4 linked regions of the Elephas maximus indicus genome follow. The protein of the gene in region 1 interacts with the protein of each later gene in a pairwise test. Links are inferred from orthologs where the notes say so. Each region holds a gene or a part of one and is shown on either strand. Other genes may lie near its edges. The genes, in order: IFT20, EXOC7, KXD1 and NUP54.

Region 1 (7,918 bases):
ATAATCTATACTATAGGGTACTGTACACTTGCCTGAAGTAGAACCCAAATGTGGGTCATCCTGGCTAGCAGGAAACACAAAAAGGAATGAAGAATCAGCAAGAGTGTACCACAGAGGCGGCCAGGGAAAGGCATCCCAAGCAGAGAAAGCAGAGTGGACAAAGGTCTGAAGTCACCGAGAGGGCCTGTCCTGCCCAGAGGATAAAGGGAAAGAGGATGGAAAAGAAGCTGGGTTGGAGCCAAATCTGGATGAGACTGTACGCTAAGCTAAGGAGTTTGGATTTTTTTTTTTCTCTGTAGGCAACAGAGAACCAACAGAGATAGTGTCTGTCTTCCCAGGTCTCCTCACATTTTTGGCTAAAGGATGTGTCAATCATGGGAGAAGAAACACGTAAAACTCACCCTTGTTCTGGCTTAAGAAACAGGCAAAAAACGAACAGAAACAGTGCATGCCCTGTCTAGAAAAGGAGGCAATACTACTTAATTCTAGTCATTGCCTGCTATAAACCAAACCTGTTGCCGTCAAGTCAATTCTGACTTAGCAACCCTATAGGACCGAGTAGAACTGCCCCATAGAGTTTCCAAGGAGCACCTCATGGATTTGAACTGCTGACCCTTTGGTTAGCAGCCCTAGCTCTTACCCACTATGCCGCCAGGGTTTCCACTGGCTGCTATGCCAATTCCAAAAACCCAGGTATTCCAAAGGCTGCCATCACCTGCCCCTGCGACAGACCCTTCCCTCTGCTCCCACCTCCCCCAGCCTCACTGGGTTCCCTTCTAGCTTCCTGAGAGACGTTCTGTTCTGAAGGGGTGATTCTGATGGTGACTGCCGGGGGCAGGGGCTCCACAAGAGGAGCAACGGTTGGAAAAGAAAGCCCCACTGTTGCCAGCACTTCCGATTTTCAAGGGACCAGAAATACGGATTTTTATATGAAATCTGACTTTTAAGTGTTGGTGTCTAAAGTAAGGGGAAAAAAACAAAACCACACAACACTGTGTGGGCCAACTAATGTATGTCTATGGGCTGCTTGTGTATGACTCTGTCCCAGAGCCTTTGGCCTCACTAGAATCCACTGAAGTAAGTAAGGTAGCATCTTCCTTTGAAACATTTAATCATACCAAGATTACTTATAATCAGGCTTTTTAAAAAGATTTGTCTTCCTGGTTGTCCTGATACACTGCACCTCTTCCCCAGGGACTATGCATTCATTCAGAAATATCTACTGAGTCCTTGCTCTGGGGATCAAGTAGTGAACAAAATCCTTTAGCTACTGACCTCTGGACAGACAATAAACAAATAATCACAAATCATAATAACAATATGAGGAAAGTCACACAGAGCTATGTGAAGGTGTAGCAGGAGGACATAATTCATATGGGGAAAGGGTGTCAGCATAAGGCCTCTCCGAAAAAGCGAAACTTAAGCTGAGACCTAAGGATGTCCAAAAGTTTATCAAGTGAAGGGGAAAGGGAGGCAGTCCAGGCAGAAACAACAGCGTGTATGAAGATTTTGAGGCTGTAAGAAACCTGAGGCAGTCCAAGAACTGAAAGGCCACTGTGACTGAAACACCATGAGCAAGAGGAAGAGTGGACAGGATGAGGCTAGATAGCAAGGCTAGAGTTGGATCATGGAGGGCTGTGAAAGCCACAGTGATGAACTTGGATTTTATCTTAAGGGTAATGGGCAGCCAGGGGATTCTCAGCAAGGTGGCATAATCAGACTTGCATTTTAGAAATACAGTAAAACCTGCAAAAGCTGGAACCAATGTAAGGCAGAAACCTGTTAGAGAAGGAAAACTCAAATATTTTCCACTAAAATAAGCGATAAAAAAGTAGCAAGACTACACCCTTTCAAAGGCAGAGACCCAGAACAACAATGCAGTCCCGTCGAGTTCCGGCTTTCACAGGTTTCACTGTATAACTCTGGGTCAGGATGAAGAATGGATCGGGGAGAACAAGAGGGCGGGGCTGGCTACACCACCTTGTTCAAACCTGTAGCCCGAGCACATGGGGCCTTGACATAATTGGCACTCAGTAAATGTTTGTGGCATGAATGACTGTGGGAACAGGTAGTAGGCTATTACAGTAACCAAGGCTTGGAAATTACAAAAAGCGTTCTGATTTGAGATATTTTGTAAGTTGAGTCCATTGGACTTGGCAATGGATTGACTGAATGTGGTGGCTGGGAGGTGAATGAAGGAAAGAGGCGTGATTTCCAGGTCTCTATCTTGAGTCAACGGAATGGCTGGACGGGATAGTTAATGAGATGGATAAGACCAGAGAAGCAGTGTAGGGAGAGGGTTCACAGCCAACTACCAGATTCTCTCCTCACTCCTACCACACACGCCATGTCTGCATCTGGGGAACACAGGGTAAATAGCGGGGGCTGACTTCCCTCCAAATAGATGCTGTGACACTCTCTGTGCCCCCCTCACCCCTCTCCCCCCCCGTCCTCCCAGAGCCATGCTAGGCACAACAGTGAACACCATCCGTGGGGTGTGAAGGAAGGCGCACTGGGCAGAAAGTTTGGAAGACCTGGGCGATGGAGCTGGCTCTGTGCTAACTACGTAAACTCTTGGAACTTATCTGAACCAGTTTCCTCGTAAAATCACTGCGCGCATGAACGCGTAGGAAGCTCCTGGCCTAAGCCGGGTGTAAACACAACTCCCAAAGGAAAAAAAAAAAAAAGGAAAAAAAAGTCGGGCTGAATTCCCCCGTCACTTTTGGCCCGGGACAGCCTCCGGGCACGGGTCTGTCAAGTTCATCTCGCCCCGGGCCCGCCCGGCTCTGCCCCCAGCCTCGGGGGCACGAAGCCGAGCACGCATTCTTCGACCCGCAGTCATGGCCTACCTGCAGGCCCCGTAACGGTGGCGCGCTGCGGTCCAGGCTGATGTCTGCGGCACTTTCGCTCGCGGGTCAGCGGTACTCTGCCCACCTGCCGGCCTCGGCCGCTGCCACGGCTACAGGGCCTGTTTACCGGTGACGTCCCTACCTGACACCGGAAACACTTACAGCCGCCCACCCCCACAGAGCCTGCTGGGAAACGGAGGCCTGAGGGTAAGGATGACTGCCTACAAGACCCAGAGGCCTCTGCGCTGGCCGGGTTGCCGGAAGTAGCTGTGGTCTCACCGCAGAATACTCGGAGGGGCCGGCCCTCTACCCCGCGATACCGTGCTGGGCATGCCGGGCCTTGTAGTCTCGGGCTCCCCGACTGCAGGGCTGGGCCGCGGCTCCGGGCGGAGTCGGCGGGCGGAGGATGTGAGCTCACGCTCGGGGATTGCGGGCGGGCAGGCGGCCGCGGTCCAGGAGCCTGCTAGAGACCCAGCTGAGAGAAGGGAGCGGCGCCCCTGGGGAAGGTGAGAGCAGGGGCTGGAGCAGAGACGGGCCCGCTCGGTATTGGGGGAGAGGGGAGGGACGGCGTAGGAGAGATGGAGAGCTCAAATCCTCCTCTGGGGATGGGCGTCAGGACTGGTCTCGGTAGTGAGAAGGAGTACGGGCTGGGGAAGACTCCACAGTGGCTCCCATAGATGTTGGGGCTCGCTAAATTTCACCAGGACCCTTTGAATAAAGGCTAAGATTCACACCTAGGATTTCTCCTAAAGCCGTTGTCTCCTGCCAAGATTGGCTTTCCTCACCATCCCTTGTGTGACGAATTTCTTGCTCCTTATTCCTCAGGACCCCACCTTCTCCCACCGTATTCGCGGTGGCTGTTTATCCTTTATTCTGCTTGAATCCCTTAATCTTCACTGAGTGAGACACGGATACGCCTCTAGCCCGAAAAAAAAAAAAAAGGCGCCCCCAAATAATCCACACACAAAGTCCGGAAGGAAGAGCACTGAGGGTGTCGCAGGAAACTTCACCTCCCTGGAATTCCCTTCTGGGCGTTACCTGCCGCAGGATTCCTGGAATCCATTGGTTTGGGCGGCATCTGAACTGACGTCATTCATGGGCCCAAAGCAGTTGCTTTTGTAGGGAAGGGAATGGGTTAGCTCTGGACAAAGACTTTTGTCTTTCTCTGTTGACTAGTTTAGCTTTAGTGTTCCTTTGCTTTGGCAGAACATGTATGTGTACTTTCTTTGGTCCTGGGAACGCTGGGTCTAGACACAACAGACAATACAAGGGGAACTTATTAAAACTTGTTAAGGGGTGGGTTTATTTCTTTGGGTTGGGCTAGGGAAGTAAGGTGATCTCCTGCCATTTGTTACTTGCCGATTGGACAGATTGTGGGTGAGGGCCCAGCTCCTCAACGTCCCATCGCTGAGGCAAATTGAAGAGCCTCCCGGACCAACCCACAAAGGAATTCAGTACTTCATACAGCACCTGCTCTGGCCTGTCCTTGCACATTCTTCCCAGGGATCTACAGAAATCCTTTCTGGGACAGCTTAAGTCTTAACAAACCAACATATATTAAATACTTAAAATAGGCATGGCATCGTGCTAAGCATTGTTTGCAGAGCAAAACAGTAAACTGAAACCAGGGCACTGTTACCGGTTTGCATTTACAAGGAACGATGAGCAACTGTAAGCTGCATGTTGTGAGGATTAAATGAGGTAATTCCTCTTTTTCTGTCTCTGTTACTACAGTGGTAGTCCAAGCCATCATCATCTCTTACCTAGACTACTGCTTCCTCTGGTCTTCCCACTTCCTCTCTCACATTCTTACAATCCATTCTCTCCACAGGAGCCAAAATGATCTTTTCAGAACATAACCACATCATCTCACTCCCCTGCTTCAAACCCTCCTGTGGATTCCCATTGCAGTTAAAATCCAAACTCTCATGCCTGCCTTTCCTGATCTTACATTCAACCAACTTCCTTCTTTTTTCTGTGCATCAGCCATTTTAACCTTGTTTCTTTTTGTCCAACTTGTTTCTAGCTGAGAGGCTTTGCATTTATTCTTCTATCTGTCTGGAATGCTCTTTCAGATCTCAGCTTAAATGTCACCTTCCCGAAAAAGAGTTTCCTGGCCACTTATTTAAATTAGTGCTTTTCCCTTATCACTGTTTTATTATCTTTTTTGCATTTATCACCTTCTAAAATTGTCTGCTTATTTGTTAGTTTTTTGTTTATTGTCAGTTACACACACACACACACAAACACACACATGCAAACATGTAAGCTCCGCGAGGACATGACTTGTTTGTTCTCTTCTGTATTCATAGGCTTGGCTCATAGTAGGGGCACAATAAATGCTCTCATTTTATTCTTGCTGACATTATGATGCTTCTTGCAACTTCTTGAAGGAAATGACAATCTCTTCATCTTTCTGTCCCTGCTGCATAACATAAAAATACCAAACCAAACCCATTGCTGTCAAGTCAGTTCCAACTCTTAGCAACACTAAAGGACAGAGTAGAACTGCCCCATAGGGTTTCCAAGGAGCAGCTGGTAGATTTGAATTGCCTACCTTTTGGTTAGCAGCCCAGCTCTTAACCATTGTGCCACCAGGGCTCCACTGCAAAAGGTAGGATTTGTTATTGGTGGTGGTGGTTGTTTTTTTTTCCTAAGTTAATTAAATGGAGGCCTGGTGGCACAGTGGTTAAAGCACTCAGCTGCTAACCAAAAGGTCAGCAGTTCAAACCTATCAGCCACTCCGTGGAAGAAACATGTGGCAGTTTGCTTCCGTAAAGATTATAGCCTTTGAAACCCTATGGGGCGATTCTACTCTGTCCTATAGGGCCACTATGAGTTTGACTTGCACGACGGCAACAGGTTTGGTTTTAGGGTTTAATATGTATTAAATGCTTAGAATTATACCTGGCATATAGTAAACATGCAACAAATATTACCATTTTTCCTCCAGCGAATGAATTTTATTGATTTTTTAGAAAGCAAAAAAAAATGTATATATATATATATGTATATATATTATCTAAATCATAAGGGGTGACCTGGCTTTGCTCTCCTTTTCTTTCCTTGCTCCTCCCTCCTATGAACTCCTGTTAGAGTTTCAATTTCCAAGTCACGTAATTGTTTTTAGATTTATCTTCTGGTCTTTTGTGGCCCTTTTCTTGTTGAGAGGGAAGAGAGGGAAAGATAGGGCTGGGCCCCCTCTCAGGAAAAAAAAAGAAAACAGCCATCCTGTAGTTGATCTACCCTGAAAAACAGTGATAATTTCATGAACTTGGGATAAGACTGGTGTCAAGAAATGGGAAGGTCAGGAGCCCCCAGCAGGAGCCAGGGTACCTCTGCCAAGAGCAGTGTGCCAGCACCCTCCCACCTGCCTCACTGCCTTCTTTCTCTCCTAAAGCTGCTTTCACTTTCCTTCCTGGAACCAGACCCCAGGTGGCACTCAGACTAAGCACTGGTGCTGGCTGCTTCTGCTTATGGAATCTGGTAGGAAGGAAGTGCATCCTGTCCCTCTGGCTTCTGGAAAACTCCTAGGCAGGCTGCATTCCCAGTAGGTTTGGCTGGAAGTCGGAGATCCTGGGAACTCAGAATAACAGCAAGTCTGACTGGCAGATTCCACAGGATGAGGATCTCTGCTGTCAGTCTGTTCCTCAGACCCTCTCTGACCAGTTCCAAGGACTTGCTTTTCTTTCTTGCTGCCCAGAGCTGAGCTGAGTCTCCTGGAGGCTGACTCAACTCTCGCTTGGTGAGGTGACCAGAGCCAGGCTCTGAGAAACTGTGCTCCAAGCATGGTTCCTGGGACAGTAAAGAACATCAGGGAAGTCTTTCTTACTGTTGCCCAGGAAGTTGGCCTCTGCCAGGGAGTACTTGGACTGGTCAGTGTTTCTACTGTTGTCCCTTCTGGTTTGCAGGCTCTACTCTGCTGACTCCTGTCTTCTCTCACATCTTTTGCCCACAGAACTGAGAGTATGAGGCTCTGGTCTCCACTGGCCACTCACCCGTGACCCCTTCCACCACGGTGGAGCCTTCCAAGCCTACCTCCTGCCGTGTGGTAATCTACCTGCAGCGGGAGATGTCGGGGGATACCTGTCTGTGCCCAGCCTCAGGGGCCAAACCCAAGCTAAGCAGCTTCAAGGGTGGAAGCTTGGGCAACAAGTACGTCCAGCTCAATGTAGGTGGCTCCCTGTACTACACCACCGTGAGGGCACTAACTCGGCATGACACCATGCTCAAGGCCATGTTCAGTGGGCGCATGGAGGTGCTGACGGACAAAGAAGGTGAGGCATCAAGGCTTGTTGAGCGGGTGGAGAGAAAAGGAGGAGTTCCTGAAAAGTGACTTCGGGGCGGGGCTTAAGCCTGGCAGATCTAGAGTCTCAACTCACCTACCATAGGACTTCTTCACCTGGAGTCCTTTGTAAGCTTCAGAATCCTTTGAAATTGTATATAGAATGTTGTGCATTTATGCATTTTTCCAGGGAGAAGATCCATACTTGTTTTATAGTCCTAAGAACCATCGCAGTAGTGCCCAGGCAGTGGGCAGGAGAAAAGCAGGGCCTGATGGTTTCTGTGTTGCAAGAGGTGGGCCTAAGTGCTCCTGAGCTTGGACCTCTGGGGCTTCAGCAGAGCCTGGAGGGCTGTGTCTCCCACAGCAGGTGTCGGTTCTTGGTTGCAGGGTGGAGGGGTGAAGAGCAGCCATGAACCTGAGAGCTGGAAGTTCTGGTCCCACTTCTGTCACCACTGTGCCGTGGGCCCTATGTTCGTGTAACTCCTTTTCTTGCCACCTGCCACCAGATCCACCCAGTGACCTTTTGCCTCATGCTTGTTTCTGAGACACCTGGAGGAAAACAGTAATTCTCTGGGTCTTAAACTCTGGTCTGAATCCCTAGGCTGGATCCTCATAGATCGATGTGGAAAGCACTTTGGCACCATTTTGAATTACCTCCGAGATGACACCATCACTCTGCCTCAAAATCGGCAAGAGATCAGGGAACTGATGGCTGAAGCAAAGTATTACCTCATTCAGGGGCTGGTGAACATGTGCCAGAGTGCCCTGCAGGTACGGGGCAGAG
Region 2 (7,292 bases), about 43 Mb from region 1:
CTGACTTGTTTTATTGTTGAATACAAATGCCGAGTCTACATCTACTCAAATTGCTCCTGTCCAGTCTTACCTAAGAATTCACGGAATACCAATTGAGATGCCTCAACGATTGGATGCAGCACTAGAAGTGTTCAGTTGTCTGTGCTAAGAAATTTGGAAAACAGCTGCCTTGCCAACCAACTGGAAGAGACCCATATTTGTACCCATTCCAAAGAAAGATGATCCAAAAGAACGCAGAAATTATCGAACAATATCATTAATACCACACGTAAGTAAAATTTTGCTGAAGATCATTCAAAAGCAGTACATCGATAGGGAACTGCCAAAAATTCAAGCTAGATTCAGAAGAGGGTGTGGAATCTCATTGGTGATGGAATATCAAGGGATATCATTGCTGATGTCAGATGGATCCTGTCTGAAAGCAGAGAATACCAAAAAGATGATTACCTGCGTTTTACCGACTATGCAAAGGCATTCGATTGTGTGGATCCTAACATATTATGGATAACATTATGAAGAATGGGAATTCCAGAACACTTATTTGTGCTCATGAGGAGCCTGTACATACATCAAGAGGCAGTCATTCAAACAGAACAAGTAGATACTATGCGGTTTAAAGACAGGAAAGGTGTGCATCAGGGTTGTATCCTTTCACCATACCTATTCGATCTGTTCACTGAGCAAATAATCCGAGAAGCTGGACAATATGAAGAACATGGCATCAGAACTGGAGAAAGATTCATTAACAAACTGTGATACGCAGATGACACAACCTTGCTTGATAAAAGTGAAGAGGACTTGAAGTACTTACTGATGAAAGTCAAAGACCACAGTCTTCGGTATGGATTACGCCTCAACATAAAGAAAACAAAATCCTCACAAGTGGACCAATAAACAACATCATAATAAACAGAGAAAACATTGAAGTTGTAAGAGATTTTATTTTACTTGGATCCACAATCAACGCCCTTGGAAGCAGCAGTCAAGAAATCAAACGATGTATTGCATCGGGCAAATGTGCTGCAAAAGATCTCTTTCAAGTATTAAAAAGCAAAGATGTCACTTTAAGGACTAAGGTGTGCCTGACAGAAGCCATGGTGTTTTCAATTGCCTCATATGCATGTGAAATCTGGACAATTAATAAGGGGGACTAAAAAAGAATTGATGCCTTTAAATTATGGTATTGGTGAAGAATATTAAATATACCTTGGACTGCCAGAAGACCGAACAAATCTGTCTCAGAAGAAGTACAGCCAGAAGGCTCATTAGAAGGAAGGATGGTAAGACTTCATCTTACATACTTCCGACATGTTATCAGGAGGGACCAGTCCCTGGAGAAGGATATCATGCTTGGTAAAGAGTCAGCGAAAAAGAGTAAGACCCTGAACCAGATGGATTGACACAGTGGCTGCAACAATGGGGTCAAGGCAAAAAAACGATTGTGAGGATGGTGCAGGACAGGGCAGTGTTTCATTCTGCTGTACATGGGGTCGCTATGAGTCGGAACCGACTTAATGGTACCTAACAACAGCAGTCTCACCTAGGAATAAAGACGGAAACTAGTATTTATTGAGCACCTGTTGTATACCAGGCACTGCGCAAGATGTGCTCCCATGCATTAGCTCATACACCCTTCACGCCACACTGAGAGGCTGGCACTGTCTCTGCTTTAGCAAACAAGCTGTTAGAAATTGAACTGTGTCCTCCTGATATGTGTTGGAACCCTAACCTCTATACCTATGGGTGTAATCCCATATGGAAATAGGGTTGTCTTTGTTATGTTATCTAAGTCATATCAATGTAGGGTTTGTCCTAAACCTAATTGCCTGAGTTATAAGCAGGAGCACAGACACAGAGACAAACAAGCACAAACGGGGAAAGATAGATGCCATGCAAAGATTGCCAAGAAAGAAAAAAGTCTGAGACAAGGATCTTCCCTGAGAGCTCAAAGAGAGCCTTCCCCTATAGCTGGTGCCCTAATTTTGGACTAGCCTCCTAAAGTGTGAGGAAATAATTTTATGCTCTTTAAAGCCACCCACTTGTAGTATTTCTGTCACAACAGCACTAGAAGACTAAGACACAAGTTAACTGAGGTGCAGATTTACCTGTGTAGAATCACACCGGTAAGCGGCAGGGCAGGGGCTAGATCCCAGATCTGTCCAACTTCAAAGCTCCTTCTACCCCTAATGTCCTCTGGAGTGAAAGCTGTGTCTTCTCTGGCCTAAGTAATCTCAAAATGCCATCCCTATAAGGGACTTTCTGTCACTTGAGTTGGAGGTGGCATATGACCAGTGACTAGCCCACCTAGTCCGTCTCACTAAATGTTTGCTGAAGGAGAGAAGGGAAAATGGAAAGCCTGGACAGAGAGCTTTAGAAAGTCCAGACTAGCGGGGACTGCAGGATCCTCCACACGGGTTAGAACATGGGGACGGGGGCTAGGTAAGTTAGATGCCATGTTACTGCCAGAGAACTCCACACGGTCCAACCATCGCCACCCATGCCAAAACCCCAGGCCTTGGGTGCCCAGGGAGCGCAGGGTCGCATCGCTCTCCTGTAGGGTAGGAGCCCCATCTGCCTCTCCCAGCTGAGGAGTAACTCACCATATTCTTGGTGAGCTGGTCGCTTTTCTCCAGGCTGTCTCTGATGAAGGACAGCGTCTCCTCTTCCTGGGGGAAGCGGAGGGAAGGACATGACCAGGAGCCAGAGACTAAAGAAGATCAGCGCGTCTGCGGCCCCTGTCTCGACCCCCGCCCCGACCCCATTTCCTCGCTAGGAGTGCCCCCTCCCACTTGCCTCCTCGGGGAGTAGATGCCCGGGCCCCAATCTCGGCCCCTTTCCCTCACCCCTTCCCCCGCTATGCCCAGCCCCAACCTCACCTGCTTCAACTTGTCCTCGATCTCCCGCCGCCGGGCGGAGGCCTCCTGCGGGGGGATCATCTCTCCAAACCCTGCGGACCCCAAGCCCCAGGATGGGGTCCCAGCGGTCCCGCTCGGCTCCCGTCCCTACCACACCCACTTCCGTTTTTGGCCCCGCCCCTGGGAGCGCTGGTTGCCATGTTGGGAGTGGCAGGCGGAAGTGCGCCTCCCGGGGCCCAGCAGAGCAAGTGGCCATCGCGAGTGTGGGTGGAAAGTTTGGCGTGCCTGGCGCACTGCAGTTTCCCGTCGGTGCGGATTCCTGCCTCGGTAGAGAAGGTTCCGGAACTGTGTTACGCTACCTGCGGCTGTCAGGACAGTTACAGGTCACTTGCCGGCCTTGCGAGAAGACCGACCGTTTTGACAGAGACCGTTGGGAAGGCGACGAATTCGCTTCCCCAATTGCATTCAGGGTCGAGGCGCCGACGTTGCGTTCCCTACAGAGCACAGCACAGAGCGTGTCACACAATAGACGCCTGCATGCGCATTTAATGAACCTGGGGGTGTAGTCGTTTCCCCTTGAGCGGGTCCTGAGCACAGTCCTAACTTGTGCACGGCCCAGCCAGGTACCTGGGGTGGCAGAGTCCTTGGGGCATCCATCCTGGGGCCTCGGAGCATGCTCCCCAAGCCGCACCTAGGTGCCTGGTTTGGAGAGAGCTATTTTATTTGCAGGGTGTGTGGACCACCCTGGTGGTAGAGAATTACTTCTGATAGAGCCTACTTCCAAAAAAATAAACCGTACTCATTTCCGCCGAGTTGACTCCAACTCATAGGTCTAGGAGAGCAGCAAGAGGAAGGCTGAAAGGCCCCAAGCCTGCTTGAGGGATTGCAGGGCAAGCGCACTGTTACCAGCTAGGGAGAGAGAGGCCTGCCTGCAGGTGTTTAGACGGGCAGGGAGCATGGCTCACAGGAGCTCTGGGGAAATCAGATGGGCTTGGGAGGCTGACAGGACCCCCTCTTCAGAGCTCCAAACCAAAAAAACCAAACCTGTTGCCTTCCAGTCGACTCTGATGACCCATAGTGACCCTATAGAACAGAGTAAAACTGTCCCATAGAGTTTCCAAGGCTGTAAATCTTTCTCCCCTGGAGTGGCTTGTGGGTTTGAACTCCAACCTTTCAGTTAGCACCCTAGCACTTAACCTCTCTGAGCCTCTGAACAGCACTAACCCATGGTAGATGCTCAAGAAAAATAACATCTTGCTTTCTAGGTTTGAGGAAGGGTATCCTCTCTGATTGCGAGCAAACATTTTAAAGTTTGTACAATGCTATTGCATTTTTGTAAATAAACTACGTATGTGTGTGATTTTCTGTAGTCTCAATTTCCTTCAAAGTCCAAGTATATAATTTGGTAGCCAACTACCATTTACTGAGAGCCTTCTGTTTGCCCGCCTCTGATACAGATAACTGTCCTAGTGTTATCTAATCCTCATAATAAACCTGTGAGTCTGGTGCCACTCTTGTCTTCCTTGTGCAGATGAGGAAGCTCAGGCTTGGAGATGTAAGCTGTACAAAGTCCACCTGGCCAGCCAGAGCAGGTAAAGCCCTGGCTGTGTTCCTCTACCTCACCATGCTGAATAGCTCAAGAGTCTCATTTGTGATCATGAAAAGCTGCCAATCTGGTTTTTAAGAAAATCTACTGTGAAAAGCAGGTTATATTTATGACAACCACATGAACTAAAAGGTAGACAAAATGAAAACCAAAACAACCAAACCTGTTGCCATCAAATCGATTCCAACTCATGGTGGCTCCATGTGTTACAGAGTAGAACTATACTTCATGGAGTTTTCTTGGCTATAATTTTGACAGAAGCAGATCGCCAGGCTTTCTTCCACAACACTGCTGGGTGGGTTCAAACTGCCAACCTTTCAGTTATTAGTCGAGCACAAATTCTGGGCCAACCAAGGACCTGACAGAATGGCAAGATGAGTTTAAATTATTCTCAACCCAATGAAAACGTGTGTTGATAAGCAGACATTGATTCCATAAAAGCTATAATTCCCCAACTATCTTCAGCACAAGCTGCTTTAGCAAAAGGAGCAAACTGCAGCTGCAGCCTCAGAAGCCTTTGACTTCATCCATAAGCTTGTGCAGAACACATAGGTGCCAATCATAGCCAAGCCCCCCACTGCTAGCTCACAGGTAGGTGGGGAGGTGGAACAGAGAATGGACGGCAGGCCAGCAGGAAAGCAGGAAGGCAGTGTATTCTTTAGGTCCTCAGAGAGGCTGGGATGTCACTTGGGGCACCATGCCCAGTTGAGTGATGGAAGCAGGGAGAGGGGCCTCTGCCAGGAAGAAGGGCCAATTCCTGAATCTCACAGACAAGAGGTGGAGCAGAGGAGTGGTTGGGGGAGCCCGAATGAGGGCAGATCAAAGGCAGCCATGGGGCCACTTGTCATCGCAGTTGACTGCTCTTGGTTTCCAAGAAAGGACTCATACACAAGCAAGAGACAAGTCAGGTCAGCACAGCTGATGGCGTCACCTTGAGCAAACAGAAGATGTCAGCCCGCCTCCTAAAGCCTGTCTCCCCAGCTCCCTTGGCCCAACCCAGAGCGGGTGTCCGATATGTCTGTGATGAACAAATAAACTAATGAGTGCATGAGGGTCAAGGCCATAAGTGTGAGGGAGGAGCAGGGGCATGGGAGGAGGACCAAAGGGGAGAGGTGAACTCATGGATACACGTCGAGAGTGAGGGCACGACGGGAAGGAGGTTGGGGTGTGCTTTCTGAGGTAATCACCAAGTGGACAAGGGTGAACTCTCTCTAAATTGAGGATCACAGCAACAGCGTCAGGACCAGCAGAAATACCCATACCAAAAGATGTGGCTGAGAAGACTCTGCGTCCCTTCCTGCCCCTCTCTACCAGGGACCAGCATCCCCTGCCTCCCATCCCCACTTCTCATCTTATTCAGGGTAGGTCCCAGGAGAGGTCTGTGAGGCCAACGGGATTCTGGCTTTGAGGTTAGGAACCGTGGATATATGTTCCCATGGGAGTATGTCACGTGATGCCTAGTTCTAGTGCCATGGAAGGCATAGAGTGAAAGAGAAACAGTTGAGGTATGAGGTCAGATAGGCCTCCACTGACCAAAGGCCTGCTACCTACTAGTTGTGTGACTTCAGCCAAGGGAGGGCCTCTTTGAATAATAGACCACGTGTTATGGATTGAACTGTGTCCCCCAAAAATGTGTGTCAATTGGCTAGGCCATGATTCCCAGTATTATGTGATTGTCCACCATTTTGTCACCTGATGTGTTTGTCTTATGTGTTGCAAATCCTAACTCTATGATGCTAATGAAGTAGGGTTAGCAGCAGTTATATTGGTGAGGGAGAACTCAATCTACAAGATTAGGTTGTATCTTGGATCAATCTCTTTTGAGATATAAAGGAGAGACTCCACCAAAGAGACAGGGGGACCTCATACCACCAAGAAAGAACCTGAAGAGGAGTGCGTTTTTTGGACCCAGGGTCCCTGCACTGAGAAGCTCCTAGACCAGGGGAAGACTGATGACAAGTATCTTTCCCCAGAGCTGACAGAGGGAAAAAGCGTTCCCCTGGAGCTGGCACCCTGAATTTGGGTTTCTAGCCTCCTGGACTGTGAGAGAATAAATTTCTCTTTGTTAAAGCCACCTACTCGTTGTATGTCTGTTATAGCAGCACCAGATAACTAAAACACCGAGTGTTCCAAAAGACCCCACCTTAAAGGATTTCAGGTAAATTAAGTGACATAACCTACATAAAGGGCCTGGCACATAGTAGGTGCTCAAGAAATGTTAGCCAGCACCTGCCTGGCCCTCATGGTCTTTCCAGCTGGAGTTCAAGTATATTACGAAGTAAACAGACTGTGCAGTGAATTTGGAAGCCTATTGCTTAGAACTGTGTTTTGATTCCAAACAGTTAACTTATCCAGAACCTTTGGAGTCCTCACCTCACCTGCCCCAAGACAGTCCTGAGCCCCTGATAGCATCCCGAGCTGCCCATGGGATCATTCTTGAAGGTCAAGGAAACCATAATCACCAGGCAGTGCGTGCCGAGCGCTGGATGGCTTATTAAAAGAACACAGGCCATAAGGCACTGGCTGAGGGGACACGGGAGTGACATTCCCCACATTTTACCACTCAGGAGGAAAGCCTGGGGTATGTGTATACAGAGCCAGTGGCATCTGAGTATCAGCACGTACCTGGCACCTCGCTGAGCCTTTACAATGGTTTTCTCCAGTAAACTGCACAACAATCTTATGGGGTAGCATTGTTGTCCTTACAGGGAAACTGAGGCACAGAGACATGTCTAGAAAGTGCCAGAGCTAAGCCTGGAAAGCAGATGCTCCATTTCCTCAGTCGTGATGTTGCATGCTCTTGCAGGCTGGCTCACACAAAAAAGTCAGAA
Region 3 (6,860 bases), on another chromosome or scaffold:
TGACCTGTGTTACAGCTCTTTGAGGAGGTCCCTCACCTCCTTTCTCTCTCTGCTGCTTCTCTCTTCTTGCCTTTTCTCCTTTCCACTTCTTCCTTCTTTCTGTCTGCCAACCTTTGTGGAATTGTCTGCACATATAAGCAAACTCCTGGTCAATTTCAAAGTATGGCCCTCCCACCAGAGCCATGAACTGACCAATCCCCTCCTGGTAGACCACAAACCGTAAACACTTCTTCTCTGTAAATATACTGACCAATCCCTGCAAGGTGCACACTAATTACAGGGCAGGCTACAGCCCAGGGCCAAAACAAAAAGTCAAGTTGTTTATAAGTCAAGTTTGGGAAATGTCCATCAACCTGGACAAAATTAACAAACCCTCTGGGGAAGAAAACTAGGGCAAAGGTAACTCCTCGAGCCTTAGGAAAAAGCTCTCAAGCTATTTTTCCAAGAACCAAGGCAAAAGGCCACACAAAAGAACTCATTTCACCAGAAGTCTACAGGTGAGGCAGTGATGTTTCAGTGGTAGAATAGAACCTTCGCCTTCCATGTGAGAGACCTGGGTTTGATTCCCAGCCAATTCACCTCATGAGCAGCTACCACCTGTCTGCCAGTGGTGGGTTGCATGTTGCTATGATGCTGAACGTATTTCAGTGTAGCTGCCAGACTTAAGATAAAGTCCCTGGATGGTGCAAATGGTTTGCACTTGACTACTAACCTAATGGTTGGCGTTTCACTACTACCCAGTAGCACCATAGAAGAAAACCCTGGCAATCTGCTTCTATAAAGATTACAGCCAAGAAAACCCTATGAAGCAGTTCTACTCTGTCACTTGGGGCTACGATTAGTCAGAATCAACTTGACAGCAACGGGCTTGCCTTTTTTTTTTTTAGGTTACCTGACTAAGACAGACTAGGAAGAAAGGCCTGGCAATTGACATCCAAAAATCAGCCAGTGAAAACCCTATGGATCACAAGGGTCTTACTGTAACTGATCATTGAGATGGTGCAGGACTGGGCGGCATTTTGTTGTGTTGTGCATGAAGTCACCATGAGTTGGAGCCAACTCAACAACAGCTAACAAGATCCACACACAGGATCATGAAGGGCCTTCAGAGCCTACTTAACCCACACTCCCATTTCCTGAACAGCTGCTGTATACCAAGCACAGCACCAAGCTCACACACTGGAAACTGCTATCATCCTTATTTACAGATGAGAAAACTGAGGTTCAGAGAGACTGAGTCACAAACTCAAATGCCCAAGGTCTGCAGGTTCCACAAAGGGGTGAATCTGAGCAAGTGCTCAGTATCTGTCCATGGAGGAGCAGTTGCTTCTTACAGCAGCTGATTTCTCACAGACTTCTGATTTTTTTTTCCAAGTAGAAACAGAAATCGAGATTTTTTTTTTCACGTGAAATTGCCTCATTTACAAATGCTAGCAACCAGTTTGGTTTTTTCCCCCAAAATATGCTGGAGGCCAAAGAGTAGCTACTGGTATCCTGAACCTGGCTACCAATTTGCATCCCTGTACACTTTCCAGGAAGGTCCCTGGGAGGTGCAAAAGGTTCGTGTTCGACTACGAACTCAAAGGTTGGCAGTTAGAACCTACCCAGCAGTGCCATGGAAGAAAGGCCTGGTAATCTGCTGCCCTAAAGATGACAACCATTGAAAAACCTATGAAGCTCAGTTTTACTCTGTAACATATACAGGGTTACCAAGAGTCTGAATCAACTCCATAGCAACAGGTTTGGTTTTTCCTTTTTCTTTTTGGTTTTATGCCTTCCAGGAGCAACTGCCGCAGCTGTCAAAGCCCTCCCCTCTTCCAATAATTGCTGTTTTTTGAGCTCCTACTGCACCAGGCGTGAACACCTGTGGTCTCAGTATTTCCAAGGAAGCATGGTGACCCATGGTATGAAGACGGCATTTGGGCTTAAAGAGCAGGGTAACATGGTAGGAGGCCCACAGCTAGCACTTGGCAGACACAGGTGCTGCAGGAAATGGTCCACTTCAAAGCAGGACTTTTGCCTGTCTCTGGCTCCCACGTGTGAGGCCTGAGGAGTTCATGCCCCTCTCCAGCTGCCTGTCTTAGGAAGTCCTCTCTGACTAGCGGAGCAGAAAAAAACCCAGCAGGGGATCTCTCTCCTCCCTTCCCTGCTCTAAACATATTATGGATGGGAGAAACCGGCATTGGAAAGTTTGTGTGACCTTGGGCAAGTCACCTCACCTCTCTGTTTTCTCACCCAGAAAACGAGAATAATGATGAGTGAGGGTGTCACATCGCTGTCTGATCGCTGTCTGTGAAGACTGGGGACAATGGAGATTAGAGAGGGGTCAGAGGATGCTGATTCTCCAGCGGGGTTTTGGAGACGTCCTGGGGCGGGGCCCACAAGCTGGTATTTTAACGAGTGCTCCCCCGCCAAGTGCCAAGAATACGAGCAAACATTTGTACGGCGTTGCATATAATTCTCGATCACTTCTATGAGGCAGGGAATATTGTGCCTAAGGGAAACCTCGGTATCTTGCCCAAGGTCACATGTCAAGGCGCCGCGACTCCACCCAAGTCTTGGAGCAAAAGCGCCCGGACTTCGCGACCCGATCTCAGGACAACCCTCGAGTCGGACGAGGTTCGCACATCCCTCGCCCCCCACTACAAAGCAGGAAAACTTGGGCGAAAGCCCGGCAACTCCTGGCTTCAGGTGACAAAGCACAACCTGAACAGAAACGGCCCCAGCTTCCGCTCCTCGGATCGGGATCCGTCCTGCGGCGTCACTCGCGCACCCACTGCGCAGACAAGGAAACTGAGGCCTGTGCACGCAGGAGGGGGGTCCTGATGTGGCCAGCGGCGCGCCCCACCCCGCGGCAGCCCGAGGGCCGCGCCCGACCAGACCCAGCTTCCTCGACGCCCCGGAGCCCCCGTCCCCACCCCAGCCTCGGTCCAGCGGCGGCTGTGGCGGCACCTGCACATCTGGCGGTCTTGCTCTCGCTTCCGGGATGGCGTCCGCGCCGCCGCGACGACACCACGCACCGTGCGTGCGAGCGCGCAAGGCAGTGACGTGAACTTGGACTCCGTGCGTGCGTGCGTGCGTGTGAGGAGGTGCAACCGGAAGGGCGGGGCTTAGACGCAGCCACCCCCTTTCACCGGTGCGTCCGAATAAATAGCCAATCAAATAATCCTATTTGTGCCTGCGCTGCGCTCCGAGGAAGCCCGGAAGTGGGGAAACGTGAGAGACACTTCCTCCATTTTATGGATTGGTAGGCTGAATCTCTATCAGGGCTTCGAATGGGTTCAGTCATGGCAGACGAACTCTGAGTAGATATGTATGTTTACAATTTCGAAATCCTGTAATGAGAGACTTGGAAGAGGCATAGTGAGCCGTTTTAGGTGCCTCATGCTTAAGACTGAATTATCGGCAGAATTGTGGAGAGCGACAGGAGCTCTGGTGGCGAAGTGGTTAAAGCGACCAACTGCTAACCATAAGGTTGGTGGTTCGTAACCATCAGTGGCACCTGGGGAGAAAGATGTGGCAGTCTGCTTCAGTAGAGATTTACAGCCTTGGAAATCCTACGGGGTCACTATGAGTCAGAATCAATTCAAAGGCAGTGTGTTTGGTGGAGAGTGACACATTCAAAACAGCATGGTTGGCTGCCATCTTTGAGCTGGGCAGTGCTGTTTCTGGCTATGCTCAAAATCCCAGCGTCAAGAGATTCGGTTGCTACGCAACGTGTATGCTGCTCCTGCTTTTTAAGAGGGAGATTAAGTTTCCAGCAGGGCTTCAACCTGTAATTTTTACCATTCTGGGTATCATTCTGGTTCACCCAAATTCTAAAAATTTGGATCTGGTTCAGTTTCTCTTCATCAGCCATGACTTAACCTGGAAGAACCGTTTGGAAGCCCTGGTTCTGAAAAGCAGCAAGTACTGCCTTGAGGCCATACAATGTTCCAGTGGCCTTAGATACACCCAGACCCTGGTACCCTGCTTTCCAGACTAAGAATTAGCGTCACCTGGGTTCCAAAATCCCTGCTCCACCTTTGGAGACCTTTTGCAAGTGCAGGAACCCAGTCAAGAGCTTTCTTGGGATTTAGTTGTTGTGTCTTTTTAATCTCCTCCAGCCCATGCAGTTCTTCAGTCTCTCCTCATCTTTTGTGATATTAATACTTGTGAAGAGTACTGCTCAGTTTTGTAGAATGTCCCTCAACATCAGTTTGTCCCGTGTTTCCTCGTGATTAGATTGATGGTACATCTTTGGCAGAAATCCCACACAAGTGATGCTGTGTCCTTCTCAAGATTTTTTAGATTGCTATTTAAGGCATTGTCTCTCCATTTCTTTACTGTGAAGTTATTATGTTTTTCTTTACAAATAATAGGTATCTTATGGAAAGATACTTAGAGACCATGCAAATACCCTGTTTGTCGTATTTTCACCTGCAAATTTTAGCACCTCTCCATGGTCCTTGTGGCCACAATTATTAGTGGGGTATTTGCCTAATTGCGATCTTTCTAGTTATTGATTTGGTAATTCATTAGAATTCTACTGTTCATTCTCCACGTATTTATTGATGCAATTATTTATATCACTATAAACTCACTGTTATTTTATTCCATGGATAATAAAAAAGTTTTTTTAAATGGATAATAGCACATAATTATTCAGTGCTGTTTCTGCATCCTTTTGACACAAACCCATCATTCTCTGAGCATTTCCTTGCTTTCTGGCGCCACAAGATGTTCTAGGTTCTGGCACAATCCTTGAACCAGCCATTTGTCCTCGAGCCTGGTTCCATTTCTGTACGAATGGTATTTAGAAACCAAGTTCTGGATGCTGGATGTGCTCATTGCTACTGGGATGTCACTGTTTCTAGGCCCTCTCTGCAGTGAGAGGTAGGAGATAATAGCTGTATGTTGTTGTTAGCTGCTGTGGAGTTGGCTTTGACTCATAGCAATCCCATGTACAATAGAATGAAACATTACCTGGTCCTGTGCCATCTTCATGATTGCTGGTATGCTCAAGTCCATTGTTGTATCTGCTACATATCTTGAGTGTCCTCCAACCTAGAAGGCTTGTGTTTCAGCACTACAATGAACAATATTCAGTTGTGATTTATAAGGTTTTCATTGGCTAATTTTCAGAAGTAGATTGCCGGGTCTCTCTTACTAGCCTGTTAGTCAGGAAGCACCACCGAAACCTGAGAGATAAAAGGTGGTACAGGCCCCACCCCAGGGAAACGCCCTTTACCTTGGATCTGGGGTGGTGATTTGGGTAAGGGTGGTGTTACAATCCCACCCTAATCTTCTTTAACATAAAATTACAATCACAAAATGGAAGATAACCACAGAATACTGGGAATCATGGCCTAACCAAGTCAATACACACATTTTTGGGGGGACATAATTCAATTCATGACACCAGGTTAGATGCGTGAACCAAATGGGGCAAATAGTAATTGTTCAAGAAATGTTAATAACTCATTATTAGTTATTGAGATCCTCTGGTGTGCATATGTTATACATTATGCATGTAATCACTGTATCAGTTTTTTAACTGTAAGTTGTAGTGATCATGGTATCTACCTCTAAAGGGTGTCGAGAGCTTGGGAGATACGTATATAAGTCCTCAGGTACATGGAAGACTGTAAAATCCCTGAAATGGGACAGAGTTCTCATTCCAATTCTGTCACATTCAAGCTGGATGGGTTTGGGCTAGTGGCTTAACCTCCCTGTCATGGTTTAAACTGTGTTCCCCCAAAATATGTGGCACTTTGGTTAGGCCTTGATTCTCAGTGTTGTGTGGTTGTTCTCCATTTTGTGATTGTAATTTTATGTTAAGGATTAGAGTGGGATTGTAACACCCCTGCTAAGGTCACATGCCTGATCCAATGTAAAGGGAGTTTCCCTGGGGTGTGGCCTACACCACCTTTTATCTTACAAGAGATAAAAGGAAAGGAAAGCAAGCAGAGAGTTGGGAACCTCATCCCACCAAGAAAGCAGTGCCAGGAGCAGAGCACATCCTTTGGACCGAGGTTCCTTTGCAGAGAAGCTCCTAGACCAAGGAAAGATTGATGACACGCACCTTCCTCCAGAGTCCACAGAGAAAGCCTTCCCATGGAGCAGACGCCCTGAATTTGGACTTGTAGCTTACTAGCCTACTACTTGGCTTTGGTAAAGCCATCCACTTGTGGTATTTCTGTTATAGTAGCAGTAGATGACTAAGACAGTCCCCAAAGCTCGACGTCCTCGTTCATAAAGTGGGGATAATCATTGTACTAGCCTTGGAGGGAGGACTGTTATGCAATCATGCAGGTGAAGTACTCACCATAAGGGTTGGCATGCCATAAATCCTCAAAAATGGTTTGTTGTTGTGTGTGCCGTCAAGTCGATTTTGACTTATAGTGACCCTATAGTACAGAGTAGAACTGCCCCATAGGGTTTCCTAGGGTGAAATTTTTATGGAAGCAGAGCACCAGGTTTTTCTCCTGTGAGGTGGCTGGTGGGTTCAAACTGTTGACCTTTATGGTTAACAGTCAAGCATGTTAACCACTGTGCCACTAAGGCTCCTTTCAGTAAATGGTAGGTAATATTATTACTCCCACACTCCACTGCATCGTTTGTTGAAAAGTCAATGAGGACCAGTATTTTTATAGATTTAGTTCAACAAACCGTTTTGAAATTTGTTGATTAAGCCCTCCCATTGCTTCCTCTGGGTTTGGGCCATATGTTGGGGATCCAGAGAGCACTCTATTCCTGCCTAGCCCTAGAGGAGGAAGGGAGACAGAGGTAGACACAGACACCCCCAGCCCTGTGGGGATCACTACTGCGCTGGGAGTGAGCAGGACTCAAGGCTGGAGGAGCCTGAAGAGTGTGACGTG
Region 4 (7,192 bases), on another chromosome or scaffold:
GGAGGGGCGGGGATGGGTAGTTTGCAGCATGAACTGGGGGTGACGGGAAGAGGTTGGAGGGCAGCTGTCTTAGTTATCTAGTGCTGCTATAACAAAAATACCACAAGTGAATGGTTTTAACAAAGCAAAATTTATTCTCTCACAGTCTAGTAGGTTACAAGTCCAAATTCAGGGTGTCAGCTTCAGGGGAAGGCTTTCTCTCTCTGTCGGCTCTGGAGGAAGATTCCTTGTCATCAATCTTGCCCTGGCTGAGGAGGTTCTCAGGTGCAGGGACCCCAGGTCCAAAGGATACACTCTGCTCCTAGTACTGCTTTCTTGGTGGTATGAGGTCCTCAACTCTCTGCTTGCTTCCCTTTCCTTTTATCTCTTGAGAGATAAAAGCTAGTGCAGGCCACACCCCAGGGAAACTCCCATTACATTGGATCAGGGAGGTGACCTGAGTAAGGGTGGTAGTATTACAATCCCACCCTAATCCTCTAACATAAAATTACAATCACAAAATGGAGGACAACCACACAATACTGGGAATCATGGACTAACCAAGCTGACACATATTTTTGGGGGGACATGACAGCAGTGCAGGGCAGGGTCTGGGAGACTGAGTCATTACTGCTCAGGGGCATGGCATTCAGCACACAGTGCAAATAGGCAGGAGGGAAAGGAGAGGATGTGATGTGCAGAGCTAAGTGGGTGGGTAAAAGAAGAGAAAGAAGAGAGAGAAACAAAGATAAAAAACAAGCAAAAAAATTAAGTTAAAAAAAATTAAATGGCAGTTCAGTAGGATTCGGTGGGTGGGGGTGAGGCTGACCTGGTGAGGCCATGTACTGGTGGCTCTCTAGCCAAGCAGTGTGGCTTGGCCTGTTAAGAAGAGGTGTGGGTGGCGCATGGGGCTAGGTGGGTGGAAAAAGGAAAGAGGGGAAAGAAAGATAAGAAACCAGCAAACAAATAAAATAAATAAATAATAAAAACAACAGCAACCAAAAAATGTGGTGGTGGGGGCAGTGGCCATTGGGGATAGGGCGGAATTGGGGTGGCTGCAAGCTGATCTCTCTCTTGCCAGGTGGCACGGCACGGCCTTTCAGGAAGGGACATAGGCAACGCAGGGCCTAGGTTGGAGGGAGGAGGAAAAGGAGAAGAGGAAAGATAAAGAAAAATAAAAAATATGATGCTGAGGGAGCTGGCCTGTTGGAGCAGCACAGATGTGGGAATGCTGTGTGCCAGAGGCTCTCCAACCAAGTGGTACAGCACAGCCCACCAAGAAGTTGAAGGTAGTGCACAGGGCTGGGTGGATGGGAGAAAAGAAGGGAAGGGAGAGAGAAGAAAGAATAACAAAAAAGAAAAAGAAAACAAACAAAACGATAAATAAAATTCTGCTTAGGGAGCCAGTTGGTGACAGCAGCGCAGACTTGGGGAGGCCATGCACAGTTACTCTCCAACTGAGCTGTGTAGCACGGCCCCTCCAGAAGAGGCTTGGGTGGTGCCCAGGACTGGGTGGGTGGGAAAAAAAGAAAGGAAGGAAAGGAGGGAGAGAAGAAACAGAAGAAAAGAAAAGAAAAGAAAAAAAAAACAAAGCAGACAAACCACAGCCCATCAAGAAGGGGAGGGGATGGCACACAGGGCTAGCTGGGCAGGAGAAAGGAAAGGAAGGAAGGGAGGGAGAAAAGCAATTAAAAAAAAAGCCCCCACAAACAATATTAAAAACAAATAAATAACAAAAAAGCCCCCCCCAAAATAAAAAAACAAAAATACAAACCAAAAAACAAACAAATGAACAACAAAAAAAATGGCACTGAAGGGGCCGGCTGGTGGGGGCAGGACGGACCCCAGCAGCAGTGTGCTAGTGTCTCTCCTGCCGAGAAACCATGGCCCGATGGAAAGCACTGAATGCCACACTGGGAAGGATGGAGAGTGGGAAAGCGTGTATCCCTGGTTATTGGGTGCTCTGTCTCCTGCTGGGAGCTCCATGGAGTTACTTTCCCATACTCCTGTCTGAGTCCTTTGGCAGCTATATCCCAAGATGGTCAATCACGCCACATTAGCTGGTATGGGACCTCCACTCCGTAGCTCTTGCTATTCTGTTCTCTCTCAGTTTTTTATTCCATATGGTGCTTGATCGAGTTCTTTATTCCTTCATTTTGTACTTAGGGGCTCCAAGATTGACATTTGTATCTGCTTTACTTAGTTTTTCAGGTCTTTGCTGCAGAGGGATGCATGGTGCTTCTGTCTATAGCATTCTGTTGGTTCCACCTCCTTTCACTAAGCAACTCTAAACCTCGGTCCTCTCATTTTACCTGCAAAATGTGGTTAATAACAGAGCTTCCTTACGGGGTTATTAGCAGGATTAAATGTTACCGCAAATAAAATTTGAAGGCACGGATTTTAGCATTTAGAAAGCTCATTGTCTCATCTGGGGGACATTCTCCCCATTTCTGAACCCTAGAAGGTGGGCCTTGTCTGCTGTGCTCAGACTTGCGAATTATCTGCACACTGGTCTTTGAGAAAGTAACTTTATTGCAATGTGCAGAGCAAGGCGCCAAGAGGAAGTTCCTTAGATCCAGCTCCCCAAGCTACGGAGAAGCAGGGCTTATATGTGATTTGGGCAGCAAGATGGTAGCTGCACGGGCGTACTAGAGAGGGAAAATTCTAGAAGGTGGCCATGAAACAGGTGATGTGACTCTTGTCGGACCTCTGGCTTCAGAATAGGGTCCAGGCGATGATTTTCCTCATGTTGCTGCATCCTCTACTGAAGTTATGTGGTCACAGCTGGTCCTTCTGGTCATGTGGGGAAGACCAAATCTGGCTTGCATTAGTTTAAGGACTAATAGAAATTTACTAGCATTCACAGGGGCAGGTTATATACCCTTCACTGTTCAGTGCTCATGGTACAGCTTGTTGATTAACATCACGGACTGGATTCAGCGTGTCCCTTTGTGGCTGTTTCCTCTTCCATAAAATGGGGGTGATAATAGTAATTTACTTCACAGGGTAATTGAGGAGTAAACTAAAAAGATGTAAAATGATTAGAAGAGTGTCTGGCACATAGGAAACACAAGATAAGTGTTTGTTAATGTCGGGGGATGGCCCCAGCAAGGAAAGACCCTCACTGTGCATCCTGGCAGATAATCTGAAGAACTGACACATAGCCCTTTCCAGATTCATATGTTCAGGGAAACTTACTCACACAGGCAAGCAGCTGCTCTCTCCAGTGGCGCCTGGATGGAATATTTTCTGCAACCACCTAGCAAGGGACCCAAGCTTATATACCATTCCAGCTGGGACAAAGTCTCATCGTTTTCTACCACGTCCTTGTGCAGTCAGTGCTCCCAGGGACTTAGCGTCCAGGCCCAGATGTTTTCCTTCTTGTTGCTAAGGCATTCTTCGGCCTTGGCCGCTGGCCCAGTCATGCCACTCCTGGCCTTTTACCTTAGTCCAGGTCCATCCCGAATTCATCCCCAGCATGCTTCAGGGAAGAGCAAAGCTGACTCCATTAGGGAGGGGATGCATATCGCTGAATAGCATTACCCTACAGTTAATATTACTGTTATCTTTTGTTCTTCCTACATGTCACCTCTTTCCTACTTCTACTTCGCCCACTCATTTTTCAGGACTGGGTTCAAATAGCATTTCTCGGGGTTGGGGGGACCTCCTAAACCCCAACCTGGGTCCTCCTAGGACTGCTCTTCGAAAAGGCTACATCTTCAACGATAACACCAAGGCATGTATATTCAAGGTGTCTACTGCCTACCTCTACAATAATGACTTCAGGCCCTGCACACCTTTCCAAGATAAGTCCTTAAGGCACATCTGAAGGGCTCTCAGGCAGCATTCCCTCTCAAGCTTCCTAGCGTATTACCTTTGTTGTGACTACCCGCGCCCCGCAATGACACAAAACGCTCAGGAAGCAAGCTGGACTCACGGAGTTTCCTCTTCACCCTCTACGCAGGTCCTTGGCACGTTCCCACCTTCTACGCTGGTGGTGTAGTGGTTAAGAGCCACAGCTACTAACCAAAAGGTCCTCAGTTTGAATCCACCAGGTGCTCCTTGGAAACCCTGTGGGGCAGCTCTACTCTGTCCTCTAGCGTCACTATGTGTCGGAATTGACTCAAGGGCAGCGAGTTTGGTTTTAGGTTTAGGCTGGGCCAAAAAGGAAGCGGAACTGGGTTATCGGGGCCGCAGTTTCCCTGCCGGACGGAAAAGCCAAGCACACGGAGCGTCCCAGGAGCGGCGCCTTGGTCCACTGCTTCCGCGACATGGCCTTCAACTTTGGGGCTCCCTCGGGCACGTCTGGCACCGCTGCAGCCCCCGCGGCCCCCTCGGGTGAGTGATCCTCCCAGACCTTCCGTCCGGGAGAAGGGTCGGCCTCTGGGCCTTCCTGTGCCCTCTAAGTCCGCCGGTCCCCGGCCTGGAGACTCTGGGATCTCCGGCCGGCGCGGAGACTTTATGGACATCGGAAGAGGGCGGGCGGCGGCGGCGGAGCGGGCCAGGAAGGCTCCAGAGGAGGGCTCGGGGGCCAGAGGCTCAACCCAGAGCTCGCGCGCCACGCGTGGGCCCCGCCGGGCCCTGTCTTCCCGGGGTTGGTTTCCCGCCGCCGGGGAAACGGCCTCGCGGACACTCGAGGGGCTCGCTTACCCCCTTGCCCGGGACACGCCTTCTCCTCCCGCCTCAGCCCAGGCGCCTGGCGGGAGGATAGGGCCTGGGGAGACCAAGGCGCTGCCCCGCAGCTCGCTCCGTCCGCGCCCTGCAGGGGCGGGACCCTTCCTCCTGGCCCCGTGGACCCTGGTTACTGGCTCCTCCTTTCACCTGTTCCTACCTATTCTGCTTTCTTGTTTGGAGAAAGTCAGGTTTGTCTGTAAAACTTCTTGCTGATTCTTCTAATCCTTATCTTGCTTTCTTTTCTTTTTCTCTCCTCTCCCCCTTTTTTAATTTAATTTTTTGTTTCTTTGCCTACACGCCTATCAGGATTTGGTGGGCTTGAGACTGCCAACTCCACCGCCAGTGGGTTTAATTTTGGGGGTTTCGGATTAACTGCTAATCCTGCAGTGAACTTTAATATTGGGAATTTCGGTGTTTCCACAACCTCGGCAACTCCGTTCAATTTTGGTAACAGTCTGGCGAGTGCAGGTAGATACTGCGGGCCGTATGTGTAATGAGTGTTGGAAGCCGGAGTCCAAGAATAATATTTCGGGATTCCTAGAGTGTGAGAAAGAATAGTGAGTTGTCTAATAAGGAAAGGAAATTCATTTCCCAATGTTGAATTAAAAACATTCGTTTCAGGTTTTGACTGTCCTAAAAGATGTGGTTCTCGGAAGTCTTGCAAATCATAATGTTCCCTTGCTAAATTTGCATTTAATTGAACAAAATACAGCTTCCAAATGATAAGACTTTGGAATGGGATATTATTTTGAATAGAATATATCTTCCAGATTATTAGCTTTCCCTTCCAAAAATGTAACCTCACTGATCAGGCCCATTTTCTTGGGGTTCTTGGACTCCTGCACTCATTTTTCATTTTCCCTACATCTTTCATTGAGATTTTATTTGATCGTCCTTGTGTTTCCCAAGAGAAACAAGTCTTATACGAACAGCAGTAACTCTCTTGTTTTTTAACTGGTAAATAATGTATTTCTTTGGTCAACTCAGCAGATTAGGGTACATGATTTCTATAAAATACACAATTGTAGAAAGAACCCCAATTCTTTACTGGTTTTTTGGGAAATGACCTGAGAGAGCAATTTTCTTTATTGTCAGACAGCATCGATTTCTAAAAGGTAGGATAGACATTTTTGCATTCTGTCATAGTTTTGAAGATTTTGGTATTTAAATGAATTATTCGAAGCTAGTTAAAAATTTTGCAAAACACTGACTGTAATGGATATATATATATAAATTTAGAATAGGCTTATGTGTACTTTACATAAAATGACCCTATAGAAAAATCTTCTTTTTCAGCTGCTCGTATATGAATTTAGTGTCTGTATCTGTTACATTATGCCGCTTAGGCCCGTGCCAATTATATGCATCTGGTAAGCATTATTTATTCCCTAAAACTTATTTGGGAAGTCTGGTATTTTGAGCATTTACTTATTACTGCACTGTAAATATCACCTTAGCATCTGAAAACAGTTTGAAGAATATTTGAAAATTCTAAAGATAAAAGAATCCATTATCTAAGATATATTTGACATCATTACATGTTATTGTCTTGGTATGTTTACTTTTCTTTGTTTGCTTAAAATTGGCACTGGGTAACACATTATTTTGTTTCCAAATAAAGCCACCCAGCTCATAATTCAGCAATAATAAACGTGTTTGTATTTGTTTGATTTCATTGTTTATTTAGTGTTATCACTGTTAAGTTTTGAGTTCTGATAATGTAACTGTTTTAACTACATTTATGTTAGTTAACGTAGCCTTCAGCAAAGGGCTGATAGAAATTCTTGTTTGCTTTTTTTATTTTGTATCATTGCAGAGTCATTGTTACTAATAAATATTCTTGGTATTGTGGAGCATGATAAGATATTGACTAGTTTTTTTTGTGGAGCCAATTCAGAGTATATCGTAGTTATTAAATGGGTGTGAGGAGTAATGAAAAAGACTAAGATCAGTGTTTAGTACTTTAGGTGATTTTTATTAAAATATTTACAGTTTGCTGTACTGCAGTAGAACCTACAAGTAAAGAGAGTGTTTGGCTATGCTTGCATACAATATAGGTGTTCCTGGGTGGCACGAATGGTTAAGCACTGGACTGTTAGCAGAAAGGTTAGCAGTTCAAACCCACACAGAGGCACCTCAGAAGTAAGTCCTGGCAATCTGCTTCCAAAAGGCTGCAGCCTTGGAAACCCTATGGAACAGTTGTACCCTGCACACATGGGGTTGCTATGAGTTGGAATTGACTCGACAGCAACTGACAACAACTGCAGCATACAACATGCAGTTTACTTTTGATTAATTTTACACATCAGAATTATATGATCTACTATCAAAGAGATTTATGTTACTGTATTGATACATCTTTGTCCTGCGTACCAGAAATATATGCAATTCAAGTTAACCAAAAACCAAACCCATTGCCGTTGAGTTGATTTCGACTCATAGAGACCCTATAGGGCAGAGTAGAACTGTCCTGTAGGGTTTCCAAAGAGTGGCTGGTGGATTTCAACTGCCGACTTTGGTTACCAAGTTCTTAACCACG

What was found.
Region 2: the proteins of IFT20 (region 1) and EXOC7 interact in binary tests that used the Homo sapiens proteins (3 or more experiments, as listed by UniProt). The two-hybrid records come from large-scale screens. The link is inferred for Elephas maximus indicus from reciprocal best matches to the Homo sapiens genes IFT20 and EXOC7.
Region 3: the proteins of IFT20 (region 1) and KXD1 interact in binary tests that used the Homo sapiens proteins (3 or more experiments, as listed by UniProt). The two-hybrid records come from large-scale screens. The link is inferred for Elephas maximus indicus from reciprocal best matches to the Homo sapiens genes IFT20 and KXD1.
Region 4: the proteins of IFT20 (region 1) and NUP54 interact in binary tests that used the Homo sapiens proteins (3 or more experiments, as listed by UniProt). The two-hybrid records come from large-scale screens. The link is inferred for Elephas maximus indicus from reciprocal best matches to the Homo sapiens genes IFT20 and NUP54.

The regions. Positions count from the first base shown.
Region 1 is NC_064837.1:23,671,432-23,679,349, reverse strand, and holds the start of IFT20 (intraflagellar transport protein 20 homolog), read right to left. Parts: upstream 3,015-7,918; 5' UTR 2,850-3,014; intron 1-2,849. Other genes in the region: TNFAIP1 (BTB/POZ domain-containing adapter for CUL3-mediated RhoA degradation protein 2), read left to right, coding at 6,922-7,126, 7,736-7,905. UniProt on the Homo sapiens protein: Part of intraflagellar transport (IFT) particles involved in ciliary process assembly. May play a role in the trafficking of ciliary membrane proteins from the Golgi complex to the cilium.
Region 2 is NC_064837.1:66,346,765-66,354,056, forward strand, and holds the start of EXOC7 (exocyst complex component 7), read right to left. Parts: upstream 3,009-7,292; 5' UTR 2,937-3,008; coding exon 2,877-2,936; intron 2,667-2,876; coding exon 2,601-2,666; intron 1-2,600. UniProt on the Homo sapiens protein: Component of the exocyst complex involved in the docking of exocytic vesicles with fusion sites on the plasma membrane.
Region 3 is NC_064821.1:38,493,090-38,499,949, reverse strand, and holds the start of KXD1 (kxDL motif-containing protein 1), read right to left. Parts: upstream 3,006-6,860; 5' UTR 2,961-3,005; coding exon 2,919-2,960; intron 2,893-2,918; exon of another isoform or gene 2,707-2,892; intron 1-2,706.
Region 4 is NC_064823.1:81,130,300-81,137,491, forward strand, and holds the start of NUP54 (nucleoporin p54), read left to right. Parts: upstream 1-4,188; 5' UTR 4,189-4,250; coding exon 4,251-4,317; intron 4,318-7,192. UniProt on the Homo sapiens protein: Component of the nuclear pore complex, a complex required for the trafficking across the nuclear membrane.